Canis lupus familiaris: one gene and its partners. The protein of the gene in region 1 interacts with the protein of each later gene in a biochemical or structural test. Links are inferred from orthologs where the notes say so. Each region holds a gene or a part of one and is shown in the gene's direction. Other genes may lie near its edges. The genes, in order: SHANK1, WWTR1 and CACNA1D.

What was found.
Region 2: the proteins of SHANK1 (region 1) and WWTR1 interact in a test that uses a peptide from one of them, tested with the Homo sapiens proteins (2 studies listed by IntAct, with this or other methods). The link is inferred for Canis lupus familiaris from reciprocal best matches to the Homo sapiens genes SHANK1 and WWTR1.
Region 3: the proteins of SHANK1 (region 1) and CACNA1D interact in a biophysical measurement, tested with the Homo sapiens proteins (2 studies listed by IntAct, with this or other methods). The link is inferred for Canis lupus familiaris from reciprocal best matches to the Homo sapiens genes SHANK1 and CACNA1D.

The regions. Positions count from the first base shown.
Region 1 is NC_049222.1:106,749,410-106,753,698, forward strand, and holds the start of SHANK1 (SH3 and multiple ankyrin repeat domains protein 1), read left to right. Parts: upstream 1-1,477; 5' UTR 1,478-1,545; intron 1,546-3,525; exon of another isoform or gene 3,526-3,636; intron 3,637-4,078; 5' UTR 4,079-4,121; coding exon 4,122-4,289. UniProt on the Homo sapiens protein: Seems to be an adapter protein in the postsynaptic density (PSD) of excitatory synapses that interconnects receptors of the postsynaptic membrane including NMDA-type and metabotropic glutamate receptors via complexes with GKAP/PSD-95 and Homer, respectively, and the actin-based cytoskeleton.
Region 2 is NC_049244.1:44,926,419-44,930,775, reverse strand, and holds the start of WWTR1 (WW domain-containing transcription regulator protein 1), read left to right. Parts: upstream 1-1,445; 5' UTR 1,446-1,448; coding exon 1,449-1,879; intron 1,880-4,357. UniProt on the Homo sapiens protein: Transcriptional coactivator which acts as a downstream regulatory target in the Hippo signaling pathway that plays a pivotal role in organ size control and tumor suppression by restricting proliferation and promoting apoptosis.
Region 3 is NC_049241.1:36,773,038-36,776,675, reverse strand, and holds part of CACNA1D (voltage-dependent L-type calcium channel subunit alpha-1D), read left to right. Parts: intron 1-3,466; coding exon 3,467-3,572; intron 3,573-3,638. UniProt on the Homo sapiens protein: Voltage-sensitive calcium channels (VSCC) mediate the entry of calcium ions into excitable cells and are also involved in a variety of calcium-dependent processes, including muscle contraction, hormone or neurotransmitter release, gene expression, cell motility, cell division and cell death.

The DNA.
Region 1 (4,289 bases):
GATCTTGGGTGTGTCTGTGTATAATGAAGGAGGACATGCAGCTATGGCATGCCTCATAGTGAACAACAGTGGCATAGAGACTGAGCCAGCCTACCTGTCCCTGATCCTTGGTACCACCTCTTTATAGCTAGGTGACCTTGGGCTTCTCTGTGCCCCAGTTTCCTGCTCAGGAAAATGGGGATGGTGAAAATCCACAGCCCAAAGGATTGATGTGAAAAGTCGATGAGTGAATCCAGAGCAGAGCCTGGCACACAGGAAGTGCTCAAGAAATGTCAGCTAGGAGGGGAGCTGTGGCACTATGTTGTGCCTCTAACTGGATGTGTGCACACACCTGTGAAATGGTGAGGTGGGTGAGTGTGATGGGGCTGCATGCACATGTCTCCTTATAGTCGCGTGCCTCTGTTTCTGGCATGCGTGTGAGCTGGAGATCTGAGCATGCCCACCTGGGTGCTTGCCCCTCTGGGTGAGGGGGTTACTGCTGTGCTGCGTGTCTGCCCTGGACAGCGGGTGTGATATGTACATGTAGCTAGGTGTGTTTGTGGTGATGTACACTCAGGTATGTTAGGTCATGCATGCCTTGGAGAGTATGTATATGGGGTAATGTGCACACGTTCCTAGCAGGGCCAGCTAGTGACTCTAAGCACCTGTGCCTTGGGGGAAGATGTGTGTGTGTGTGTGTGTGTGTGTGTGTGTTTGTGTGTGTGTGTTTGTGTGTGTGTTGGGGGGGACAGAAATCTATAGCTCTCACAATCCAGTTTGGAAATGTAGAGTCTAGCAACAAATATTCACTGTGTCCTACTGTGTGTAGAGGGGTTGGGAAGCGCTGTGGGAAGGGGCGGTCCTGGTGTGTGTGTGTGTGTGTGTGTGTGTGTGTGTGTGTGTGTGGAGCGGTACCCTTAGGGGGGCGGGGCCCCATGGTCCGGGTAGGGAGCAAGCAGGGGTAGAGCCCCCTTGGGTTATCTGGTGGCGATGAGGATGGGGGGGAGGCAGGGGAGGGGGTGGAGCCGGCTGGGGGGATGGGCGAGGTTTGGGGGCGCGGGGAGGGGCGATATCTCCTCTGCTGGCTCCGGAGGGAGGGGAGAGGGCGGAGGGAGGGGAGGGAGAGAGGGAGGGAGAGAGAGAGACAGGGTGAGGGAGAGACAGTGAGAGCGAGAGAGCGAGAAGGGAGGCAGAGGAGGCGCGGAGCGGGCGGCGGCGGCGGCGGCGGCGGCGGCTTGAGGAAGAGGAGGAGGAAGAGCAGGCGGAGACGCCGCGCCCGGAGCCGGCCGGACCGAGCCGGGGGCGGGCTAGCCCGGAGGGGCGCGGCGGCCGCGGCAGAAGGGGGGGCGCTCTGCGGATGGCCAGGCCCGGCCCGCGGGGGGGGTGAGGTCCTCGGCCCCCCCGCCCTCCCCCCCGGCCCCCGCCCGCCCCCTCCCCGGCCCGCTCGCCCTCCGGGGCGGTGGGGCATGGCCTGAGGGTCCCCCGTCTCCGGGGGGGTGGGGGGTGGGGGGAGGGGGGAGGGGCCGCGGGCGCCGCCGACCGGGACTCAGCAGCCCCGCCAGGCAGGTAAGGGGGCCGAAAACCCGGGGGTTTCGGGGAGTTGCGGGGCCGGGGCCGGGGCCGGGGCCGCGGGAGGGGGCAGGGGCGCCCCGGACGTCCTTGGCCGCGCGCCGGGCTCCCGGCCCGGGTGTGCGGTGGGGGGTGGGGTGAGGAGGGGAGCGTTGCCCCGGGCGACGCCAAATTGGGTTACGCCCCGGTCCCCCGTGCCCCGTCCCAGATAGCAGACTTGAGGGGAGGATGCGCCCCCCCATCCCCCCGCCCATAAGGCCCCCAGCCCGCTGCCCCGTGCTCCCAGGCCAAGGGCTCGGTCGCTGTACCCACCTCCTGGCCCTGCCCGGCCACTCCCCCGCCTCGCCCACCCCGGCCGACCGGGGCCCTTGACCCCTTCTGCAGCCCCGCCGCGGGAGGCTCCTCCCCTAGGTCAGCGTGGTTCCCTGCCCCTCCGTCGGGGGTCTGGGCCTTGGCCTCCTCCGCCCCCTTGGGCCCCCTCTGGTTCCTGCCTCTCCTTCTAGTCTCCTCCAATCCCCTCCCACCCTCTTTCGAGCCTCCCTTCTTCCCCACCCGTCTCCTCTCCTTCTCCGCCGGCCGGCGCGCCCCCTCGGCTCCCGCCTCCGAGTCCCGCTCCCGGGTGCCCCCGCCCCCTCTCCCCGGCCCGGGGCTCTCCCCCACCAGTTTCTCAGCCCCAGCCCCGGCTCCTCTCCCCGCCTTTCCCCGCCTCTCTCCGCCTCCATTCATTCTCCCGGGCCCGGCTCTCGGCCACACCAGCCGCCCCCTGTCCCCCCGCAGCCTCGCAGGGCACCCCCTCTCTCCCCTTCTCCACCCCCCCCCCCCCCCCCGCCGATTCCTCAGCCCGTCTCAGTACCAGCTGCGTGCCAGCTATTCTTAGCCGCGGAGCGTTTGATTCATGCCGCCCCGGCGGAGTGTGCCCGCTCCCTCCCTCGGGCCTGAGGGGGAGGGGCCGGAGCTGGTCTGGGGGGTGGGGGGCAGCCGCACGCGCTGGGGAGCCGGGGCCAGCTTTGCTTTCATCCCCCTGGCCACCCCATTAAGTGCCCGGCTGAGGCTGGGGTCAGCCAGGGTCAGCCGAGGGGGAGTGGCAGCGGACTCCGGGTCCGGAGGTGGGATGTGGAGTGTGGGGGGAGCCGTAGGCTGCCGAGGGAGGGGGGTACCTCCGCACGGACCAGGTGGGGCAGCTCTGCTGGGTACCTGGAGGGGGAGGGGGCTTCGCAACCTGGCCATGCATGGGGGAGGGGTGGGCCAGCTCGTGGTTAAGCTGCTCACTCACCCACAGCTCTTGGAACTGTCCTGCCCCCACACTCATTTTGTCTTCCCCCAACCCCCAACCCCCCCAGCCCATCCCCACTCCCCCAAAGTCAGCAGTACCCTCCACTGCTTCCCATCTCCATGGCAACGGTGCAGGAGCTGGGCCTGGTGTGGGGGGGAGGGACCAGACCAGACATTCTGGTTTCCGGTGCTGGGGTGGGAGACTGGGAGAAGCAGAGGGAGGTGGACCCCATTTGGGACCCAGGCTTATAAGGCCACCTCAGGAGAGAATAGTGGGGGACCTGAAGATTACTTCCCACCCCAGTCCTCCAGACCATCATCCCACTTCTTAGCCACCCTCCCAGCCCCCAGTCTCCCTCTGAGTGGATCTGCCAGTACCAGGCAATGCTGATCCACCTGTCCTGTGGTGCCAGTCCTCAGATGTGCCCACAGGTTATCCACAACCACCCCACACTGACCCAGGCCACTGCACCCACTCACGGGATGGGCCCTCCCAGGTCAGTCTCCCCACCTACCCACACCCCTCTCTCAGGATGCCTCCAACAGCCTGCAGCGGCCATCTCTTGTGGTTCCCTTGGGGACACCCCATGCATGATGCTCTGCCCTGTGACACCCCTATCTTAGTGTCCTCGCTCCCCTGGGACACCGATTCCCAGCAGTCCTCTGCACACGTTGTCAGCCACACTTCAGTGAAGTCACTGGTTCCACCCGCTCCCAGGCACCACTCCCGGGCACCACGCGGCCTCCCACTTCTGCCATCCCAGGCTCACGGCACCTCTGTCTCCCCATTACTACATTTCAGCCTCCCCCCACCAGGTATCCAAGAGGAGGACTGGAGGACCTTGGGTGAGGGGCTAGGTTGGGGCCAGGAGGGCAGGATGCCGGTGGGTCGTCCACCTGTCTGTCCTCAGCTAATTTTAGCTGCATTTTCCGTGGCCTGCCAAAGTGGGCCAGTAGCTCCCGCGGTGATTCTGCGGTTTCTGGGACACTGCCATGCTGGGTCAGCGGCAAAGTGGGGCGCAGGACGGGTGGGGGTCTGCGAGCAGGGCCAAGGGCAAGGAAGGAGACCTGCTGGAAGCGTGGTGGCGATGGGCGTGTGTGAGCGGAGGCCGCAGGAGTAGCTGGGGGTGTGTCCGGCCTCCTTCCTGTCTACCTGGGGCACGCGGGGCAGCTGCCCTAGACTGCTTGTCCAGGAGGGTGGCTGTGGCCTCTAAGAGCCCTGGGCTCCTCACCTGACAGTTGCCCTTGGCCCCAGCAGCCGCCTGTGATGCTGCTGTCCCCTGTCGCCCCGTGGCCCCACGATGACCCACAGCCCCGCGTCAAGCGAGGAAGAGGAACGCCACAGTGCCAGCGAGTGTCCCGAGGGGGGCTCAGAGTCCGACAGCTCCCCAGACGGGCCCAGCAGAGGCCCCCGGGGGACCCGGGGCCAGGGCAGCGGGGCACCTGGTAGTCTGGCCTCCACCCGAGGC
Region 2 (4,357 bases), on another chromosome or scaffold:
GGACGCGACTGCTGTCCCTTTCCCGGACCCGGCTCCGGCCAGGTTTCTTCTCCATTTCTAGTGACCCGAGTCCCGCGTAGAGGAGACTAAGGATTGATGAACGGTTTCGAGGTTGTTTCCCAGGCTCCTGCCGGCGAGGCCGCAGCCACGGGGACGGGGGCACTTTCTGGGCACCGTCTGCGCCCCGGCAGACAACCGCGAGCCCGACAGCCAAGATGCCTCCTCGCCAGACCAAATATGGTCACAAGCGCCGAGCAGCCTCCCCGTGGAAAGGCTCGCCTGGCGCCCCCGCGGCAGGCCCGGCCGTCGGCTCAGCGGGGCGCTCCGGGCGCCCCAGGCCTCGACCCCGGCGCCCGGCCTGCCCCGGCCTGCGCCCCCGGCTCGCGCGCCCTCCGCCCCCCGCCGCCCCCCGGCCTCAGTTTCCGTCCGAAGCCCTGATCGCACGGGCGCAGGCCCCTGTCCCCGGATCCCGCCCGCGGTCGGCGGTGGCGGTGGACGCAGGGACTGCGGGCCCGGCCCCCGCGGAGAGGCGCGCGCCCCCCGGAGCAGCGCCCCGGGCGCCCGGCGGCTCCGGCCCGGCCCAGTACCTGCGGGGCCCCGGGGCCTCCGGGAGGCGGGAGGGGGGGGGGAGGGGGAGGGGGAGGGAGGGGGAGGGCCGAGCGGGCGCGGGCGGGCTCGGGCCGCGGGGCTCATGCATAATTCAGCAGCTCGGCCTTCGGGCCCGCCTCTCTCCTGGGCGAGGGAGTCCGCTCCAAACTTTGTTTATGGGACAGTCCGGGAGCCGCGGCGGCCGCGCTGTCTGCGTCTCCTCCGCCTCCTGCCGCGCAGCGCGAGCGCCGGGGCCGGTGCGGGGCATGTGAGACGCCGGGCCCCGAGTCGGGATCTGCCAGCCGGGCCCCGGCCACAGCCCCGCCAGCCCGGGAGGCGCCCGAGCCCCTGAGGCCCGACGGCGAGCGCGCCCCGACTCGGCCCCGCCGCGCGCCCAGGTAGGGCCGCGCACCCCGCCCCGCCCGGGGGCGCCCGGAGAGGAGGGGTCGCGGGGCGGGCTCGGGGCGGGACCCGGGGGCGGGTGGGGGTGGGTGGGGGGCTGCCCGGGAAGGCTGCGCCCTGCCCTCCGCGCCCGCCGTGCGGCGACCTCCGCAGCTCAGCCCCCGCCCCCGCCCTTCCTCCTCCTCCTCCTCCTCCCCCTCCTCCTCCTCCGGGCAACTTCCAGGCTTCGAGAAAGTTGCATAATTCCCCAGGCCGGGAGGGACCCCTCCCCCACCCGGCCGGCCTCACCCCTGGGTGTCTGGGATCCCGAGGCGGACACCGAGCCGTGTCCTCTAGCTCTTTTGTCTCTGTTCTGCTCCCCCCCCCCCCCCCCCCCGCACCCGCACCCGCACCCCGGCCCCTCTCCTCCCCCGACGCGTCCTAAAAGCCTCATCGCACCTCCCGTCTCTCCGCAGAAGATGAATCCGGCCTCGGTGCCCCCCGCGCTCCCGCCCCCCGGGCAGCAAGTGATCCACGTCACGCAGGACCTCGACACGGACCTCGAAGCCCTCTTCAACTCGGTCATGAACCCCAAGCCCAGCTCGTGGCGGAAGAAGATCCTGCCCGAGTCCTTCTTCAAGGAGCCCGACTCGGGCTCGCACTCGCGCCAGTCGAGCACCGACTCGTCGGGCGGCCACGCGGGGCCCCGGCTGGCCGGCGGCGCCCAGCACGTCCGCTCGCACTCGTCGCCCGCGTCCCTGCAGCTGGGCCCGGGCGCGGGGGCCGCGGGCAGCCCCGCGCAGCAGCACGCGCACCTCCGCCAGCAGTCCTACGACGTGACCGACGAGCTGCCGCTGCCCCCGGGCTGGGAGATGACCTTCACGGCCACCGGCCAGAGGTACTTCCTCAAGTAAGTCAGCCCGGGGCCGGGGCCGGGGCCGGGGCCGGGGGCGGGGGGCGCACGCTCGTCGCTGTGAGCCTGCATCCTTGCACGCTGGTCTGCGAAAGCCCCGGGAACCCGCGAGCGGGAGCCCCCGGGGGCTGGGGTGGGGAAGCCTCACCCAGCGGAGCGCGTCGGCTGAGCCGCTTCCAGGGCCCTGGGAGTCCCAGACACTGGGGACGTGCAAATAATCACCGCTTTGGGGGCGATTCTTGTGAAACCCACAGGCGACTCTGCCCCGAATCTGGAATAGTTGGTATAGACTTGGGGGGGAGGGGGGGGAACTTACGCCCTCACCTGCCCCTCCCCCGTCAGATGGACCAGAGCTTGCTCCATGGGGAGGTGACACCGAGATACATTCTAGAAAACTTCTGAAGCCCGGGAAGCAGAGGGACTCTCGGCTGTGTAGGTGGTCCGCACTCTCTCCATTCTCGGGGAAAAGCAAGCTGGAAAAGTGAGCCCCGCCGCCCGGCCCGGCCCGCCGGGCAGGCCTTACTGCTCCCAGCTGAGTGATGTAATGACCACACAGCGCAGTGATGTAATTAGCGACTCGGCCCCGGTGAAGTGGTTGCGGCTGGAAAATCAATTGTGTTGGAAATTGGGTCAGGAGTTTTATGATGTCACACTTAGTAACCTAAAACACCTTGGGATCCCGAGGCTGCTGTGTGTTGTTATTCTTCCCTTCCACACTGTCAGGGCCTTTTGATGGAATGATTTTTACGCCAGATTGGAATTAGACCGTACAGGAAACTATATTCACAGACATAAGAAAGATATTGTTTCCATGGTGGTACCCTAAGATGATTATGTTCCAGAGGAGAAACCAAGCTGGAACTTGAAGTGTGACCAGTGAGGTCAAGGGGGCGGGGGTCAGGCTGTTGATGGCCTAGATGGAAGTTGTGCCAGCTGGACCACTTGGTTTAGGGTTGCCTGCACTGGCTGGTGGCTCACTGCCATGGAGGGAAACTCCTCTTCTTAGCACTTGCCTTAGAGTTGATTTTAAAGCCCATATTTCTTTGATGAAGAAGAGCTTTCGTTTAAAATTTCTCCGGAGACATTATGTGCTCTTTTAAAAATATTATCAAGCCATTCTTTGGCACGAATACTTGATACCTTGATCGCTGTCGGTTGGCTCTAATAACAAATCCGCAGTAATGGATGAGGTTTACTGGAGCCAGGTCCTTGACTCATACTGGTGACCAGTTATTCCTTCCCCATCCCACAGCTGTTGACATCTTGTACAAGGAGGAGTTCTTTATTTTGTTTCTGGGATTGGTGTGATGTGGAGAAGCACTTGTCCTGAAGCCGACTTGATTGATGGTCATTCCACAACCGGCCTTCTCCCAGGCTTTGAGTGTTAGTGTAGACATGTACTCAGTGCTTTGACTTCTAAATGGCTGGTGCAATTCAAGTATGTGAATAACATGACATCTTCCTAAATGTGATGATACTGTTCTGAAGGATGACATTAGTTTCTATGGTACATAAAGCTCCAAAATAATCTTAAGTTTGCTTAGGTAAATGGGGTTTTGAATATTAATTGTGACTTTTATAGAGATGGACTTGGTAATGAATGCAAATACAAAATGGTCTACTTTACAGTAATTTAGGGGGATCTTTGGTGGTCCCAAATGACTTTGGGACCAAACACACGAAAATATATGATATGTGATCAGTATAACTGTGGTTATTAAAAATACGAAATAAGAGCTAGGCTTGCCTAATATCAAAGGAAAGCTAGGAAAAAAAGACCCCCCCCCCCAAAAAAAAAGCAAAAAAAAAAAATCCCTTTTATGCACAAGTTTTGAAAGATGAAACTAGGACAAAAATGGAAGTTAGTGGGCAGCCCTGGTGGCTCAGTGGTTTAGCGCTGCCTTCAGCCCAGGGCGTGATCCTGGAGACTTGGGATCGAGTCCCACGTCCGGCTTCCTGCGTGGAGCCTGCTTCTCCCTCTGCCTGGGTCTCTGCCTCTCTCTATATATATCTTATGAATTAAAAAAAAAATTAAAAAAAATGGAAGTTAGCTTTGGGTTTAGAGAAAGTCGCTCAGATTCATTGTCCATTCCCCCAGCTACAACCACTCTGCAGCCCAAGGCAGAGCACCTCTTCAGTCACTTTGGATAGTCAGTGAAGACCACGGCTGAAAAACTGTGTAGGTAGTAGGCTAGCTTGATTTGATGCAGCCCCCGGAAACTTTCTGGCCAAGTAGCTAAGGGAATTTAAGAAATTAAGTCAGCGTTAACTATTGTCTTTCAAGATAAGCAATCTGCCAGGAGTTCCCTGAGTTTTTTTGGGGGGCTTTGTTTAAAGTTGGAGTAAGTTAAATGTTGTATGACATAGCCTTGAAAGGCACCCCGATTAAGTAGAAGCTTGAAAAATCGTGACCACGGACCCTGAATTGTCAAAAAATCCATTTTGCTCCATCATCTGCGAAATGGGATTAGCAGT
Region 3 (3,638 bases), on another chromosome or scaffold:
CAACTACTGCTAAGGTTGCTTCTAGCTTTGACATTTGCCGATTCTGATTGTTCAGGTAGCTACAAATATGAACACTTGCTTCATAGGGAGGGAGCAATTTGCTCTTCAATGCTATGACTTCCTGGAATTTCCTTTTGACATGTTCCAAAAAAGCATTTGAAACGTGAGCGTGAGGGAGCGTGTGGAGGGAGAGGCTTGTGTGCGCCTCTTCTTCCTGAGCCCTTGTGAGTTAGAGAGCAGTCTGTCAGTGGGGGAATTTGCAGTTGCTGCCTTTATAAAACATTCTGTCTGTGTCCTTGGACTGGAGTTGCATTTCTGGGTGTCTCCTTTGTATTTTTAAAACTGAACTCCAAATGCCCCAGGATGGTTGTGACGTCCCGGATCTTGGAAAACTAGGGTGCTTGGCCTGCCCACCCCCTTCCCCAATTCTAGAGGCCAAGTCTCCAATTACTGCCACCCTCCAGAAGAGGTTGACTGAGGCCTCCTTTCTGAGCAAATGGCTTTCTAATTAGTCAGATGATTCATTGGTCTGGGTAAAACAAAGCATTTCCTTTTCCCAGAAGTGTATTTGGGACCAACAGGAGCCTTGGAGTAGCTCCTAACCATAGGAAGCAGTGTGAGTGTAGGGCTTCCCCCACAGCGCCCAGGGTGAAAGGGCTAAGAAGGAGGGATATTGACCACCACCTGGAAGGTGAGGCCAAAACTCCCTTATAACCCCAAGGACCCAGCTAGGCAGTTCTTTGCATGCCTTCTGTTGTAGCTGGCTCTTTTCTGAGGTTACGGACACGAATTAAAATGAGGTAACTTTGTCCAGAAAGGTTTTGGAGAGGGCAGCCAAATGCAAGGATAAGGTTTGAGGGGTTTTCATGTGCTTTTCCTTTTGAGAACAGATGCCTCTTCTCTAGGGGGAGTTATGGTGTCTCTCACATAGCTGAGGCTGCGTGGATATATTTTCTCTGTAAGTTTTTTTCCAGTCTGAGAATGAACACTACCATCAGCCTGGAGGCAGCTAGGTGCATAGGATGTGCCTCAGTGGCATCGCTCTGGTCAGAAGCATGGTTGCACTCAGCCAGAAAGATCGCCTCCTCCTGAGGTTGGTTTGACGTGACTCTGAGTGAGCAGAGACCTCTCCGGGGTCATTGACTTCTTGTGGAGTGAGGTGGGAGGCCTGGTGCTGTTTCTCATCGTGCACAGTAATTTGTATATAGCAATGTATGTGCACGGATTGAATTCCTGGATCTTGTTGCCGACTTTTCCAGGCATGGCCAGACACGTATGTATAGGAACGAGGGGATGTGGCTGCCAATCCAGGGAGAAGCCTGCCTACAAATGGGACAGTCTGTAGAGCAGATCTTTTTTTTTTTTTTTTTTTTAGATTTTATTTATTTATTCGTGAGACACACAGAGAGAGGGAGAGGCAGAGACACAGGCAGAGGGAGAAGCAGGCTCCATGCGGGGAGCCCGACGTGGGACTTGATCCCCGTCTCTAGGATCACACCCCAGGCTGAAGGCGGCGCTAAACCCTGAGCCACCGGGGCTGCGCTGTAGAGCAGATCTTTAAACAACATGTGATCTGTTTGTCTTTCCCAGTGACAGTTCCCTTCTAGTTCAGGGAGCATGTTAGAGAAATCCTCCGAAAGCCAGCTGTGCAGGCCCAGTCAGCCCTGGGAGAGTGAGAGCCTCATTGGTTTGTACGCCCAGATGAGGTAGAGTGTCCTGCATCTTGGGAGAATGAGGAGGGTTCACCTTATCAGAAGGAATTTTTAGGAGCAGATCCATCTATTTCTCTGTCTCTCTGTTCCGCTTGGCTTGTGAAAATCTTGTGGCAGTGAGATAGTATCCACCAACACCTGGCAACTGAGACCGGACCAGCACAAAGGAAAAACAAAATTGTGTTTGGTTTTCCTGAATAGCATTGGTATTTTTCAGATTTGCTGGCCTGTCATTTAGTATTGGGAACTACAAAAGGAAGAATGGTGGTATGGGGGATGGGAGAGACCACAGGTGTGTTTCTATGTAGAATAATCCTGGGGCAGTTGGCTTTTAAAATTTCAGTAGGAACTGCAAAAAAGGAAAAGTGAAGAGGATCCTGAAGTCTTCTGCAGGAGAACTGTCTTAAGGTTAGATCTTTGGATAAGAGATTTTATAATACGAGATGAGTTAAAAAATAAATATGAATGAAAGCTAATTGGCTTTAAAAATAAACCCCTCAAAATTAGTAAGAGAAGAATGTCATTCATGTCTTTATTGTGGTGAGTGTCGAAGCTCTTTAAGGGGCTGTTTCTTCATGAGATTCAGGATATCCCCAGTGAGTAAGATGCCTTTGTTTCCTTTAGCATTTTTGGATTTCCGGGAATGATATTCAGGATGAATGGAGAAGGGTCTGTTCACCTCCTCAAAGCTTTAGTACTTGGAGATATTTAGTTAAACCAGTGGTTTTGCCTTTTTTGGGTGAGGTTATGGGAGAAACACGGTTATAAAATTAAGCTCCCCGCCCCCTGCCCCCCAAGTTGCAGATTATGTTGGTGCTCAGAAACCTTGCATTCGGAAAGCCTGAAAGCCAGAAGAAGAAAAACAGTCATTCTGGCAGAAGCCAAATTTTGCATTGCCAGTTTTGACAATGTCTCTTAATAACACTGAATGTTGAAGCAAGTATCTGTTGCAAGCTGGCTTCAAAGTGATTTCTTCCAGACAGACCCCCGAGATTTAGAATTGTTCAATTGTACTTTCAAAGTGTCTGGTGCTGATTTCTTATGGCTTTTTATTTAATTTGTTTATAAATTGAATGCAGTAACAGCTCATTAGAAACCGAGCTCCAGTCCAGCTGTAATCCGAAACAGTGATAGGCATTGATTAGTAAAGGAAGCAGAAGGGGAGCTGGAGCCTGGCTTGCTTGTTACAGTGTCTGAGGTACTGGAACGTGCCACGAGACATGCACAGGTAGCATGCAGAAAGTTCTGGTGCCTTGGCCTGCCCGGGGCCAGACAGGAGACTGACCCAGCCAGGAATAGCCCCCGAGAAAATGGCTTTAACACATGGAGGCAAGGGTTTGTGGAAGAGACTTGTCCCATGAGGGCTCCTGTTTCTGTCGACAACAGCCAGGAACCTAGTGTTCTAAGGCCTTTGTCACTTTTAAAACTTTAAGAAGCAGAGACGCGATTCGTGGGGTGCCCTAGTTGGATGTATGTTTAGGTTTCAATATAACCTGCATAGCAGAGAAAGAGCGTTATGTGATCCTTGCAAGGGAAGGAAGGACATGGAAAAGTCATTCGCTAGGAGGACCTGCCAGATGACCACGGACGATTATATTTGCTGGAGACCTAGTGGTCACAACAGCCGGCCGAGAAAGGACGCGTGGGCCTAATTCTCATTTCCAAAGTGATTCAAGAGTGGTGTGATCGAGAGTGTGATGAGAGAAATGGTTTATGTTTACATAAGACATATATGCCTTAACAAAATTTTTCAGACCATTTGACATATTTATATTATTGGCTATTTTTGCCAATTGTGTGGCCTTAGCTATTTACATCCCATTCCCTGAAGATGATTCTAATTCAACAAATCATAACTTGGTAAGTATCCTTAGAGTTCCCGCCTGTCCTGACGTGTGGTTATCATTTGCCTCTCTACTTAAACTG